Tribolium castaneum: one gene and its partner. The protein of the gene in region 1 interacts with the protein of each later gene in a pairwise test. Links are inferred from orthologs where the notes say so. Each region holds a gene or a part of one and is shown on either strand. Other genes may lie near its edges. The genes, in order: CCDC53 and heat shock factor-binding protein 1.

Region 1 (8,224 bases):
CACGGATCTAAAAACATATTTCGCTAAGTTCTATGTTAGCCTAACACCTTATTGCCCTTCTGCGCTCGACAGACTGGTACAACCATTACACAATAACGGTCGTTCCCAAATAGAAGTACATTTTTTGAAGGCTTTCGCACCGAAAGCCGCGGCGGGTTCAGCGACATCTTCAAAAAACATTTTTTGTACAAGTATTTAATTAATCAATAAAAAAAAGACACTGTATTCAGAGACAAACTTAATCTAAAATTTATACCTATTTTTACATAAATTGGACAATTTTTTTACAAATTGAAGGGATACGTAGTAATAAGTTAGAAGAGTCAGGTACCGCGGATTACACGCAGTTCACACACGGTCACTGAACAGTTCTTGCTCAAGCAAAGGTCGCGAGGTAGCCTGTGGCCGAATGTAGAAGATCCTGCTTCTAGGTGGCGCTACTAACAGTGACATATAACAACGGTTCGAGGTATGGCTAGCATGAAACGCACTTGATTTAAAACTGAATTACTGATTTTTTTTGTAAAACTTAATTAAAAATTAGTTTGGCCACAAAGTAGCTCGAGACTTTGCGCTGAGAAAAAGTCCGTCACATGTTGCACAGTGGTTACGCGACCACCTGCTCCATTATGCGTCGTCTTCCTCTTCGTCTACCCCTTCTTCACCCTCTACATCCTCCTCGTCATCGTCTAAACAAAACACGCATTAACAACTACTATAAAATTTTATCACCGAAAATACCATCGCCTTCCAGCTCCTCGTCGTCGCCTTCAGGGAGCTCTTCTTCATCGTCGTCTTCCTCTCCTTCAACACCCTCCTCCTCCTCTTCATCCAGCTCTTCGCCCTCGGAACCCGCACCGTTCTCCTCTTTTCGCGCCTTTTTTACCTCCTCCGTTTTTTCCTACAATCAAACATTGTCTTACGACACAAGCTTCTGATAACACAGCGAGTGGCGAAATCATTTTTTAGTGGAGTTATCATTTGTTTTCGCCGTAAAAAAATTACTAATATTGTGCCAACGTCTGAATTAAATTAGATATTACATTATGAAACTGAAATTTTCAGTTATCTTGAATCAGATCGTGTTGCGCACAGAATTAACGACCCAATTAAAACTTAATTTACTGTTACTCTAACATATTCGAGCGGTAATGGACAACAATTAAAAATGTAGTTTTATGAATTTTCTGTTCGGTTCTTCAACCTAGCATCACTGTAAACAAGCGCGCTGTCTCAGATAAGGTTAGTTTAGTAAATAAATTATGGTAACAACATTATACTCGTTTCTTTACTTATAAATGTAAGAACACGTATCGTATTTTTTTTTAATTTGACACACTTGCATTTGAAAATGCGAACTAAAGACGAGTTAAAATATGCAACAAGTGCTCGTGTATTGAAAAATAACAATGCTGGGAGGTGCATTTATGACTAAAGTGTGATGTTTTGTATGTAATTTTACTTTAATATTCTTTGTGAAGACTCAGGCTTTATCGCTGTTGTCTCTTAACAGCAAACAAAAAGCAGTCATTAGTTTTTTTCTTTAAGTAATACAGTCGAACTTTGATAAGTCGTTCTTCGATAACTCAAATAACTGACTTCCGTAGTATGAAAGCAACAAAATCCTAATATTTTTTATTTTATAACTCGAACAGACAAACTTTTCCTTAACATTTACTCGTTGTTTGTCTTAAAACGACATAAGAAATAATACATATTTGTATTTATAAATAAAGAAAAAAATATTTTTACTTAAGAATAACACTTACACAAAAATTTTGGACAGTCAACAGAAATAGATTACAACATTGTTAAGAAATCATTGGAGCAACTGTGATAAACAAAAATTCGCATGAAACAGTGTTGTAAAAATAGAACTAAATAAATTATTCTCGAAATCACGAACTAAATAGAAAAAGACCTAAGTAATTATAAAAGAATGTGAGAGATATCTTATAAGGAAGTTATACAATTTTTTCATAAAAAGTTACTTCTCCTCAAATTTTACAGTTGTTTATTTACCGTCAAATTAATTTTTTGTTGAAAAATATACTGCTTATTAAAACTTTTTTTTTCAATTTTCTTGCCGACAGCCGAGTCACTGAAGTTTCACTGTATAATTTTTTTCAAATTGAAATTAGAAAAGTGGTAAACATTAATTTCTAACTCGAAAGTATATTTCTACTGTGGCACAAGGTTAAATATAATAAAGATGACAATTCTTGATAATTATAATAAAATAAAGTTTGCAATTTTTGTAAACAATTTGATGTCGGGTGAATTTTTGCAAAACCGTTCGATAATCTCGTTTGATAAGAAAAACAATTAATAAAGTTTAATACAATACAAAAATAAATTCAAATGCGTCAAGGACAATGGCGGGAAAATTTCTCCGAGAAATAAAATACGTCAGATCAGAAAATCGCCAAGTGGGCCGCGGAAAGCATGGCTACCACGACTTGCTCGAGAAAATGGAAATAAACAAGCAAACTAACTAAAAACGCTCTTTTCATTCACAATTCTGATCCATGATGGATCTTAATCTTTGCCACTCGTTAGCGTAGCATCAAAAATGTCCAACTCTGTTGATTCCAGCGAGCTTTATGAGACGCTTTGCATTGAAAAACCGGACCAAAGTGGTCAATCTCCGGGTTATCGTGAAATTTGCAACGAAATCGTCAACTCGCACGCGGAAATCTTTCTAGAATCCGATGTTATTAAAATATTAGTGTGGCATCTAGCCTCGCACGAGGACGCCTCCAAGTTGCTATTGATTTCGCCATATTGAATCGAGCAAGCGATGCTAGCCTCAACCCGGGGTCCATTGTATATGGCGGGATGCTTTCCAAGCGTGTTTACACCGCATGCCATAATGAAAAACAGTCGAAAACACCATGGCAACAACAAATTTAGCATCGTATTGTCGCAAAGCCGCCTCCGCGCCGGGAAAAAGCCCCGTTCACATGGCAACCATCCCGCGGAAAACGCGTGAAAACGGCGTTTCCGCGCGTTTTCCACGCGAAAATCCCGACCACAACATCCAACGGCCATGTGACCTTATCGCAAAGCAGCGTAAATGCGAAAGAAACAGTCGAACTCACCTCCGCCGCTCGCTTCGTGCCTTTTAACTCGCATTTGGCGTCGGGCGCACTTTTGTCGTTGTCGATTTTTTCGACAGCAACTTCGTTATTTTCTTTCGAACTCATTTTGTTTATATTCCTGTGTGGGTTTCACGCTTTATCGAAAAGTGACGTTCACCAACGTTGAACACTACTGACCGGCTACTCGTTAGCTTTGTTCAAAAATTAAGATGGCGCCGCTCAAACCGATCGGCCCCGGACTTGGACGAGTGACCGGCTTTCGACTCCCTAAACTATTTATTCACACCAACCGCCAAAAACCAAAAGACAACAAATTCCAAGCTTTTTCGGTGTCTCGGACCCAAAAAACGTGCGCCAGATTTTATGAAATTAATTGCAAGGTGTTTGCTCATGAGGGTTCCGAGAGCACGGATTGAGTTTTACGAACCGGACCGAGATTAAAAACGTGGTTTGAGTATGCCACCGCCAGGGGCGCTCTTCAAAAAATTTCCCTCCACAATCACATTCATTTTATTATTATGCAGAAAAACAGCCGATTATTGACTCAATTTAAAAGGGAACTATTCGGCACGACTTGTTACCCACTAATTAAAACGCCTTTCCCTTGTGGCCGCAAAAATGCGTCTTAAAAACTTTTTCTTCTATTTTTCCTTGCGACCACGTGAAACGAATTAAAACTCTATAAACTTATAACGAAACACTTTTCTATCTTTCATCCAATATAGCAATTCAAAATTCGCGCCAATGTAAACGACGCATGCGCATAGTGTGACACGTTGCATCTCTCTCTTTTTTTTGCAATAAAGAAAATCCCAAGATGGTAAGCAGGTTTTCAATCAAATATCTCAAAAAATCGCAATAATCGGCCTTTGAATTACCGAAAATTTAGCGAATTCGTGCATTTGGCGTCCTTGGAAGGGCACATTCCTGTTTATTTTCGCGTTTTGAGGACGTTTGATGAATTGTGGGGTTATGTCATTGTTTTTAGGTTAACGTCCCGAAGCAGAGGCGCACCTTCTGCAAGAAATGCAAGGTGCACAAGTTGCACAAAGTCACCCAATACAAAAAGTCCAAGGAACGTCACGCTTCGCAAGGTAGGAGACGTTACGACAGGAAGCAGCAAGGTTTCGGTGGACAAACCAAGCCCATCTTCAGGAAGAAGGTATTTTTTTACCTACTTTGAGTGTGGGGCTATTGTGTGTTTTTAGGCTAAAACCACCAAGAAAATCGTGCTCAGGATGGAATGCACTGAATGTAAATATAGGAAACAGATTCCCTTGAAACGCTGCAAGCACTTTGAATTGGGTGGCGACAAGAAGCGCAAGGGACAAATGATTCAGTTCTAATTGTTTGACTAAATAAACACATTTTGTAAAAATTCATAACGTGTTTTATTTATACTTTTAACAATGTTTTTTTAACACAATTAATTAACCGAGGAACTGTCTTGCGTATCAGTTGATTTGGAACTAAAAAATAACGGACGTGTTGCTGATTCGCCAGTGATAGTAGTACTTACTCCAATATGCAAGGGTCAAGTCCCTCTGTTTGCATTTTCAGCTTGACAGCAGCTGGGGGAACCCCAAATTGCAACATTTTGAAAAAGCGTTGATATCGCGGGTCTGACGCAACATCAGGCTCTACCTCTACATTTTTTTCAATTTGCGTCTCCTCGTCTTTAACAGGAGGCAGATCTAAATCGTTTTGTTTAGGCGAGTCCTTTGCAGTGTTTTCTTCTAAATGCGCAATTGAACCTAACTAACACAACCGACTCACTTTTGCGCCAAATAATCGGAACTTAAGGCATTCTAGCATTGTTCAATACTTACTTGCGACTCAAGTATAAGTAAAGAAGCCTCAACTTCTTGCAGTTTGTACTCGAATTCCATCAAACGCGATTCACACGACTGTGCAAAATGGTTTAAAAACGACACCGTATTCATTACGAAATGATTGATAAAAGCAATCGTGCGCTTTTGTTGAATGGGTAAAATCTAAGTGGAGAAGTTGGACGTGATTGTTGCTCGAATGGGTCGCTTTTTTCAAAGACTTACCTGCGTGTAATCCACATTTGGATCAATTGAGGAAAGGTCGTTCACTTGCATTATTTACATTATCTGAGTGAAAAACACTCAAAATTAGGGGGAATCAAGGCATCGGCACAAGTTTATTGAATTAATTGGCTCCAAAGGGACACAAAGAACCTGAGTGACAGCTGTCAAAAGTGACGTTTGAGGTTAGATTGTGGCGAAAGGATCGCTTTTTATGCAATTAACAAACGCAAACACGCTCAATAAAACAGATTTATTATGCCAGATTTATAAAATAACATTGCATCTTGTAAAATATAAAAACAATCACAGTATAAATAAACTTGATATAGACTAAACTACAAACCTTAACAATTTTATAAGAAAACTATCATTGAATTTAGGGCGGTACACAGTACTGTTATATTTAATGTCAAATATTGAACTCGCTTTTGCATTACTTAGACTTAAGTAATGGTGGTTTCATGGAGCACCCTTGTACATATCACTAGCTTGGCAAATATTATCTAGCGCGCTATTGGCCAATCGCGTTAAACTATCAGTCATATTCGGCTCCTGGCGCCCCTCACTCTCGTCCATAAGCGATAGATTTTGGGTGAAAGTCTCTGACAAGTTATTTGTCTCAAGCATGCTTAAATCACCCGAGTTTAAGTCAATCGGTTTCAACTCCAATTGTTGATTGTCCAGATTTAATAAACTGCTTATACCACTTGGCGTTTCACTTAAATTAACACCACTGAGATCATTTTGGGCGGAAGGATTCCAATTCATGTTTAACATATCGCCGACTACTGAAGTCGAAGGCATATTCCAGTTCATCATGCCTCCGATTGGCGGAAGCACGTTCTGGAACAGAGGGGCTTCCGGGGGCGTGGGGGCCACGTAATGGGGCGACACGTTCGGGATGGGCGCCTCGAACATCTGCCCGCCGTACGGCGAAGGCGCCTTATCTAGAAAAAAACACTAAAGCGGGGAAAAATATAAAATTAAATTACCTCTGGGCTCGACTTTAATGCCTTCGGATGGAATGTTGAGTAGGAAGGGTTGGTGCGTCCCTAACAAAAAATCATTAATAAATTGGCCAAATCACAAATTAACTTAAAATCACGCAAAACTACTAAACAAACCAATTGTTAGCCAACATAAGCTCAACCAATTAATAAAACAAAACAAGTTATAAGAAAAAATCATGCAAAACATTCATGTACCTTAATTCCGGTGACAGTTGGCTGCAGCTTATGACGCAATGAAAGACTGTTTACTTGTAAAAAACTTTAATACTTCAGCTGATATAAAGATATAAAGCCTTTAGAAAACACTAACAATCTACCTTTAAACTTTCCAAACAATTGAACATCAACACACTTAAAATTGTATAACTTTGTGTAATAATTCCGATCACAGCCCCATTGATGGATGGGGGATTTCGATTTTGGGCGTAATAGGCGACATATCGCGGCTTTTTAATTTAAAAAAAGGTTAAAAAATTCAAATATAAGACATGAGCACTGTCAGTGTCACTTTTAACGAGCTAAAAATATACCTAGAGTAGGCTGTAACGCGAAATTTGACACATCAGTGACAGTTTTAATGTCAGATTATGACATAAAAGCAAGACCGCTCTAGATAAAATAACTTTTTCAAATGATTTTCGAAGAATTAACTTACAAAAAAAGCAAAAAAAAAAACAGAAACATAAATAATAAACATTGTGACATTAGCACGTCAAATTTGAATTGCCAAACTGACGTATAAATAGTTCCCTGTCCATCAGAGAGTTGTGATTGTAATAAACAATAAAATAACAGTGACTAAATAACTATGACTAGTAATAAAACATTTCAATAAACAAGTTTCGTCGTAATAAAGTAAAACAATCTCATTGGCTGAATTCGGCCAATCAGTTTTGAGCAAAATGACCCACCACCAAAAAATGGAAAAAAACTTACTTTGTTTGTCACTTTCCTCAACATGTCTTAACAATTGGCTTGGGTCATGATACTTTTGCCTCTTTCGCTTAAGCATACCCGGCTCTAAAAACACATCAGATAAATAAAAAAACACAAAATAAATCAATCAAACAAAAAAAAAACAAGAAACAAATCACGTTTTTGACGTTAATCGCGCCAACATTTCACTATTCGTTAAAATTTTCCCGCCTTCAACCGGTGCATAATAACAGGACATTTCGTCAAACTCGCTCTGGGTGGCATGTGGGGCCATTGCCGTGTACAGAGCGTAATGTTCGGCCTCTGTCAAGTCTAAATTCAGATTCAAGTCGCTAGTTGGGGGGCTGTCTTTCAGCGGAATTCGCACACTTGTGGCCGAACTCGTGGAGATATTGCCGGCGCTTTGCCCCAACAGCCCCGAGGGACTTAAACTAGTCTCGCGGGAAGTCCCCGGAGTTTTACTCTTCCGGCCGAAGAGTTTCGAAAAAATCCCCTTTTTCTTGGGGTTGGGTAACGTGGAGCTGGGGGTGGGGGGCAGTTTCGCCGGCAGCGCCACCTCTTGTGACTTGGGCCGATTCAAGTTGAACGAATGCGAACGAGTGACTCCGACTGGTTTCGATATTTCGTTAATGCTTTGCATCGAGTTGCCGATGAAAGTTTCGATCTTTTTCGAACGTTTTGGCGGAAGTGGCGGCTTTTCGGCCTCGATTTCGCGCTTGTTGCGCGTTGTTGTGTCAATTATCTCCATTTCTGGTTCGGTTTCGGTGATTTCGACCGGGTTTTTGAACGCTAGTTGCAGACTTGAGTAGGTCTTGCCGTCATCAAAAGACTCATTCTGGGGGAAGTCCTCCAGTTGGGGCTTTTCCACATCGCTTAAAGCGTCGTTTAGGAGCCGAGCTTGTGTTTCGGAATAAATCTCGTCAAGCTCGGCTACTTGATTTATCAACTCATTGAACGATTTTTCTTCCGTACTTTTGGGTTTCTCGATTTTCGAGTAGTCGTTGTTGTTGGTTTCCATCACTTCGTTTTTTTCCTCGTCTATTTTTTTGATAATTTTTTCGGGTTTGGAAACATCGCTTGCAAGAAGCGTACTAAATAGGTTGTAGTTTCCTTTTTTCGCGTA
Region 2 (6,496 bases), on another chromosome or scaffold:
CAAAAAAATTAAAAAATGACCGTCAGCATGCTACAGATACCATTGGCCCTTTTTTAACGGTAGCTCTGCTAGAATTTGCTCGAATACAATTTCACGATTTGCAGATAAGTCCAAATCCTGTTTTTATATCAATAATCGTCCTCTAAAGATATGGAGAAGACTTTTTTCATTTGATAACTTTCAATGGCTATCTTAAGAAATAGAGATGAAACCATATTTCGTATTTGCGAACGATTTGCTGCTCTACTTGGTCCACAATTTATTTTAATACATGTTAAGTAATAACCTGATAACGTTGAAAAAATATGAAATTTCAGTTTTTATTCCTTAAATTTGCGCCGAAGTGATCAACAAAATTTGATAGTAACAATAGTTACAAAATTTATTTTGCTGTAAAAATCAATTTTTGTCCGGGCAAAATTTTGTGTCTGGTCACCCTCACAGGGTAGTCTAAACGGGGGCAATGTGTGTGCAGGTCAGCTGCGGGCTGCGCCACTCAGCGATGCTCAACAAGGACGGTGGTCTTCTAGTCGCAGGCACGGGCAGCAAGGGCCAGCTGGGCCTTGGCGATAACTTTGATGACAACAACTACCTGAGTATATCCAAAGTTCCGGACTTAGAGGACATAGTGAGCATAGCGAGTGGCCAGCACCACACCGTGGTCCTGAAGGAGGACGGCACCGTGTACAGCTGGGGCGAGAACAAGTACGGGCAGTTGGGCATTGACCCCAACATCTCGAACAGTTTCGTCCCGATGGAGATCCTCCATGACGCCAATCTCGGCTCCGTGTACGCGGGCTGGACACACACGGCGGCCCTCTCCAAGTCGGGCGAGGTCTTCACCTGGGGGCGCAACAGCTACGGCCAGTTGGGGGCCCAGAGGGAGGTCACCTACAAGCCGGAGAAGATCCCCGGACTTAAGGACGTCACACAGTTGAGCGTCGGCTCCGAACATAATCTAGCCGTTACCAAAGATGGGAAATTGTTCGTTTGGGGGTGGAATGAGCACGGGAGCTGCGGAACCGGTGATAAAACCGACGTCTGCAAGCCCACGCAGATTTTCGCTAATAGAAAAGTCAAGGCGGCTTTTGCTTGTACCGGTAGTTCTTTCGCTGTTGTCGAATAGCAATAATTAATTCTCTTTTTGATGTGCATAAGTATTTTTATAAAGAATTATTATTAATTGAATTATTGTATTCCGTATTTTTATAATAAAAATGTGTTGCATGATTCCATGACGGCGTTTTATTTAGCCATGTTGGCACAACCGTTTGTTTGTGAGTGGTTGCCCTTAGAAACGCAAATAAAAACAATTCAACAATAATGTTGAACACGTTCCGGGCGCGGAATAATTGGTAAATATTTATTACTTTACAATTTTTCAAGATAAATATTTGTGCAAATTTGTTTTGAAGCGCAATTTATCGTAATAATCAGTTTAAATTCTCCTTAAGTCAGCTAGACAAAGACAGTCAATTGGTTCACAATTAGTTTGACTGAGACGAGTTGAGTAATCGGAAGTCAAAGTACTTGAATTTGATATCAAAAACACTAAACAAACGTACCAAAATAACTTTATCTCGTTTATCTTAAATTGAGATTGCAATTTTACAAGAAAATCGGCTTGGGAGGTTATTTATTCATTAATCCTCGGTAGTATAGTGGTCAGTATCCCCGCCTGTCACGCGGGAGACCGGGGTTCGATTCCCCGCCGGGGAGACTTTTTTTTCATTTTTTCTTTATTGAATTTAGCGAACAGGAGGCTAAATTCGTCCAAGACCGTATTGTCTCAGTCGAGCGAACAATCGGTGAATTATGCCACGTTTTCGGGCAGTATTCCCGGAAAGCGGCCCGTCTGAGAGACAAAGGGGACGAAATTGCCAAAGTCACGCTCGAACACGCTGAAGCGGAACAACTAAACCGATCTCTAAGCCTAGCTTTGGAGAATTTTGCCGACTGTATCTCGCTTTTGAGTTCTTACGGCGACCTCAGAGTCCAGAATTTGGACAGTAAAGTGATTAAAGAGTTTGCACGCTATGAGGACATTTGTAAACATGCCAAAGACGAAGTTAAGCAAATTTACAACGCTAGGGAGAAAGAAATTGCGAGGAAAAGACAGCTGGATCGGATTAAAGAACGCAATCCGAGGAATAGGCAACAAATTGTTAGGGAAATCATTTCAGAATTTGTAATAAGTGAGAAATTGTAGATCCAAGCTGAGACCGAGTTAGTAAAGGCGAGTGCCGAGTTTTCGAAGACTTTGCGTAACTTGGAGGAAAAAAGCACGGAGTTTGAGAGACAAAAACTGCACGATGTTAAGTCGATTTTGCTCGACTTTGTTGCGATAGAAATGGGGTACCACGCCCGGGCTCTGGAGGTCTTGACCAATGCCTACAAAGCTGTGAATTCGATGGACGAAGAGGCCGACTTACAGGTAAGTAAACTCGCTTAAATAAAAAAATAAACCAATACGTTGGACAGGACTTTCAAAAAACTAGTGGAAAGGTGGAGGCGGTAATAATTGACTCGGGTTTTTTATTTTATTTCTTGTTTTTTAAAATTGCAGGAGTTTAAAAAGTCGCTGCGGCGCCCGGACAGTTCACGCAACGTGGGTTCGCGCAGTCTTTTTCGCTCTAGCAATTCGCTGGGTTCCCTCAAGGGTCTTTTTACCCCCAATAACAAAAAACCAGAGGGGATTCCCAGAAAAGCGTCCAAAAGTGAGGAAACGCTCGACTCCATGAAACGGAGCATTTCCGACACTGAGGACAGCCTCAGCGACAGTGCGAACGTCTCTGAGAATGTTTCCGACACTGAGGAGCCCTCGTCCCCCATCAGACCGCGGAAGCCGCGCAAATGAAACATTCGCATGCTTAGTTCTAATTTATTAATAAAACGGTTCAATGGTACATTAATTAATTTAGGACTTAAACAACTATCAATTCAGTGGTACTCGAGTTTTACTTATCCGCCCCCTCAACTCCCGCTTGAGTCATCAGATCGCCGATATTTTTCTCCAAATCGTCGATCCGGTTGCCCATTTCATCTATTCTGGTTAAAATTTGATCGGACATGTTTTGAAATTTGTCTTGGATGGTTTGCAACAGCCCCTGAACCTGTTTTTTGATAGAATTGTAAAATTTTGACGTGTGAGGTTATGACAACTTACGTATTGGGTTAATTCTTGGACATTTTTCGGGTCGTTGGTGTTTGTGGCGGTGAAGGATTCACAGTCGTTGTTCATTTCGACTTTATCGTCCACCATACTGAGGAAAATGCTAGATTTTGCTCAAATAAAACGGAAAATGTTTAATCGAAAAACGTCACTCTTTGTACCAGGCGCGGTGGGGATGTTGACTGATTTTTTTGAGTTTGCGTGTGTAGACTGTTGATTTTTATTATGCACGCAGGGGTAACAAGGGGGACATGCACCCCAACGGGGCTGAACGAACACAAGGAAATTTAAAAAGTGAAAAAAGAGTATCAAAACCGGTGAAATGGATTAGATACTTTTAAAAATTTAAAGAATAGAAATTGGCAGAGTTTATTCATATTGGATTTCTCGATGATTTTTCTTTCAAAAAATATTTAAAAAAATCGAAAAAAGTAAATGTGGGACGGTTATGCCATTACCATTAAAACCAAAGTAACTAAACATATAAAAAGTCCCTAAAAATATTTTTATCTTTGCATTTTTTTGTGTCCATTATTTACATATTTGTACTTTAAAATAATGTCTTCAGACAGTTCCGAAGACGAAGACTTGGATAAATTACGCGAAGCCGCCGACAGCCAGCTGTTAAATAACGCCTTATACAACAAAACCGAACGTAAGCTGAAAGTGAGGTTACATCACTATTTTAATTTAAATTATTAGCGAAATTGGAGGAACCCCCGAACACGAAACCACAGTCATTACGCCGTAGCAAGGACGAGGACGAGCAATTTAATCTGTTCCGTGTATCCCCAGAATTCCAAAATTACGTCGCCAAGCATTTGTCTCAAATCCTCGATAAATTGTTAAAAGAAAGACTCGAAACGAAAAACTACGAAAATTACGTGAAACCAAAACGACGGAAAAGTGGGATCAAATTACTTCGTGATTCAGTGCATTGCATAAGTGTAAAAACAAGAGACGTTGCGCCACAGGTGAAAAAAAGGCAAGTTGAGGAGGACGAAAGCGACAACGAGGCTAAATTTCGAGCTGTGGCCGTAAGTGCTGACGATATTTTAAGCAAAAAAGACACAAAACACTGGTCTACACGTAGCAAAGCGCCCGTTTATGCCTATTACAAAACGCAGCAAGGCCTTATCCTTAAATAAATAAAGTTTCGTTCATTTTTTAATGTATTTTACCGTTCAATTCCACTTTTTTGTTGAAATAAATTCAAAAAAAAATTTTTCTTGGTTGGTAGCGCTGACCATTAACCTCAACCTTCGAAAGCTAACCTCAAAACCGTGCCAATGAGTTTTCCTCGCCTAATTCGCTTATTTTAGTGTTAAAAACTCCACAATGTTCGCATTTTTTACGTTATTTTTAACCGCGGCCACCGTAACGTATTGTGATAACTTTTCCAGTATTAACCTCCCCGATTCTCACTTACCATATTACTTCACTAACTTTCCCAAAATCAGGGAAAAGTGCGACAAAGACCCACAATGCCCTTACAAAACCTCTCTAAACAGCCCCAAATGCTGGGGCTACGAATACAACTGTCTGGAATCGGAGCGCTTTTCAGCGCCCCGATGCCCAGGCGACCACAAAGGCTGGGTCAAGTCCAAGTCCGACCAAATTAACACTTTTTACACCCAAGCCGATTTCGGCTTTGTTAAGCAACAATTGCGCGAGATGAAACTGCTCTGTGAGCCCCTTTTCGCCGACGATAGTTCTCTCGAGTGTTCGGAACATTTGCGCTTTTGTCGGGGGCGCAACCTCATGATCAACTTCACCGATTTGCGGACGCGCGAGGACCCAATCAGGTACAAAATGGACGTTTTAAAAGACGGCCAAATTGGGGGCTACTGCGACTTTAAACAAGCGGCACTGGAGGAGCAGACGGACCACTTGAGCCCCTTGCAGAGCTGGGCCCCCGAAATGAGGTACTTCGCTAGGCTTGCGCGTAGGCCGATAGTCGAAGGCGATTGCGATGTAGTGATAGAGAAACCCACGTTTATTATGAAAATTGACGCTAGTACGTGGCCGTAAAATTGGGGCCCGATTTTGACGCAAGTTTTGCTTTTAGCGGTGAATATGTACCACCATTTCTGCGATTTTCTCAATCTTTATGCTTCAATACATTTGAATTCGACCCAATGGGACGCTTTCTCGACCGATGTTCACGTGTTGATTTGGGAGACTTACACGTACAGGTCGGCGTTCGGGGACACCTGGGAGGCTTTCACCGATCATCCCGTTTGGGATTTGAAGACTTTTAGGGGCGAAACCGTGTGTTTTAAGAACGTGGTGTTCCCCCTTTTGCCTCGCATGATTTTCGGGCTGTATTACAACACCCCGATTATCTACGGGTGTGAGAACAGCGGCCTGTTTCAAGCCTTCTCCCAACATATTTTACACCGACTCAAAATCCCCTTTCACCCTCGGAACAATAGGAAAATTAGAATTACGCTTCTTGCCCGCGATACGAAATATCGCAGGATTTTGAACGAGGACGAACTTGTTGAAGCCTTGGCGAAAAATCATGACTATGAAGTGCAAAAAGTTGTCTACAATAAGGACGTTCCGTTCAAGAAACAGTTAGAGATTACGCGGAATTCCGATGTTTTAATTGGGGTACATGGGGCTGGCTTGACGCATTTATTGTTTTTACCGGACTGGGCGGCTGTTTTTGAATTGTAATTCGTTTGAGTTGGGTGGAAATTAGTGTAATTGAGGGGTTTTAGGTACAACTGTGAAGATGCGAACTGTTATTTCGATCTGGCAAGGTTAAGGGGGCTCAAGTATGTCACGTGGGAGAAACTGGATAAACTAAAGTCACAGGAGGATGTAAGAATTTAATTTACTTAATTATAATTCGAATTATAACGACGCTAATGCTTTCAATTAAATTTACAATTGATTACAAAGAGTTACAAATAATTCAATGTCGCCAATTTATTTTAAAAATTAATTAGAAATTTAATTTAGACATCTTTGAATCACGGGCGACGACTACAATTTTTATATGCGATTTTTATTGAAAAAAAAAAATTAGCAAAAAGAGTTTATTGAAAGTTACGACTCAACGAAAATACATTCAACCCAGTGCCAAAAAATTATTTGAGACCAAATATAGAATTTTTTAATTTCTAACGACACATTTTTTATTCATATTGGTTTATTACAAGAGTGGATTTTTCTTCAACTCATTTTTTCATTAAAATTAAATTGTAAAACAATTTTTAGGGAACTCATGATGGTGGGGCTCACGCCAAATTCGCCAATTACTCTTTCGACGTAAAAGAGTTTTTACGATTAGTTGCAAAGGCAGCAAAACACGTT

Evidence for each region.
Region 2: the proteins of CCDC53 (region 1) and heat shock factor-binding protein 1 interact in a two-hybrid assay, tested with the Caenorhabditis elegans proteins (2 studies listed by BioGRID). The link is inferred for Tribolium castaneum from reciprocal best matches to the Caenorhabditis elegans genes ddl-1 and hsb-1.

What each region holds. Positions count from the first base shown.
Region 1 is NC_087402.1:708,586-716,809, forward strand, and holds CCDC53 (WASH complex subunit 3), read right to left. Parts: upstream 5,338-8,224; 5' UTR 5,207-5,337; coding exon 5,156-5,206; intron 5,096-5,155; coding exon 4,931-5,095; intron 4,860-4,930; coding exon 4,621-4,859; intron 4,571-4,620; coding exon 4,528-4,570; 3' UTR 4,448-4,527; coding exon of another isoform or gene 4,310-4,447; 3' UTR 4,264-4,309; coding exon of another isoform or gene 4,090-4,263; 3' UTR 3,922-4,089; coding exon of another isoform or gene 3,919-3,921; 3' UTR 3,207-3,918; coding exon of another isoform or gene 3,102-3,206; 3' UTR 3,101-3,101; downstream 1-3,100. Other genes in the region: acidic leucine-rich nuclear phosphoprotein 32 family member B, read right to left, coding at 628-689, 742-901, 3,102-3,206; RpL36A (large ribosomal subunit protein eL42), read left to right, coding at 3,919-3,921, 4,090-4,263, 4,310-4,447. UniProt on the Caenorhabditis elegans protein: Acts as a component of the WASH core complex that functions as a nucleation-promoting factor (NPF) at the surface of endosomes, where it recruits and activates the Arp2/3 complex to induce actin polymerization, playing a key role in the fission of tubules that serve as transport intermediates during endosome sorting.
Region 2 is NC_087398.1:4,659,609-4,666,104, forward strand, and holds heat shock factor-binding protein 1, read right to left. Parts: upstream 3,381-6,496; 5' UTR 3,263-3,380; coding exon 3,167-3,262; intron 3,114-3,166; coding exon 2,958-3,113; 3' UTR 2,868-2,957; downstream 1-2,867. Other genes in the region: uncharacterized protein LOC655683, read left to right, coding at 476-1,126; Fam92 (CBY1-interacting BAR domain-containing protein 1), read left to right, coding at 1,324-1,355, 1,753-2,164, 2,210-2,434, 2,482-2,514, 2,567-2,857; Eogt (EGF domain-specific O-linked N-acetylglucosamine transferase), read left to right, coding at 4,511-5,189, 5,241-5,850, 5,899-6,001, 6,401-6,496.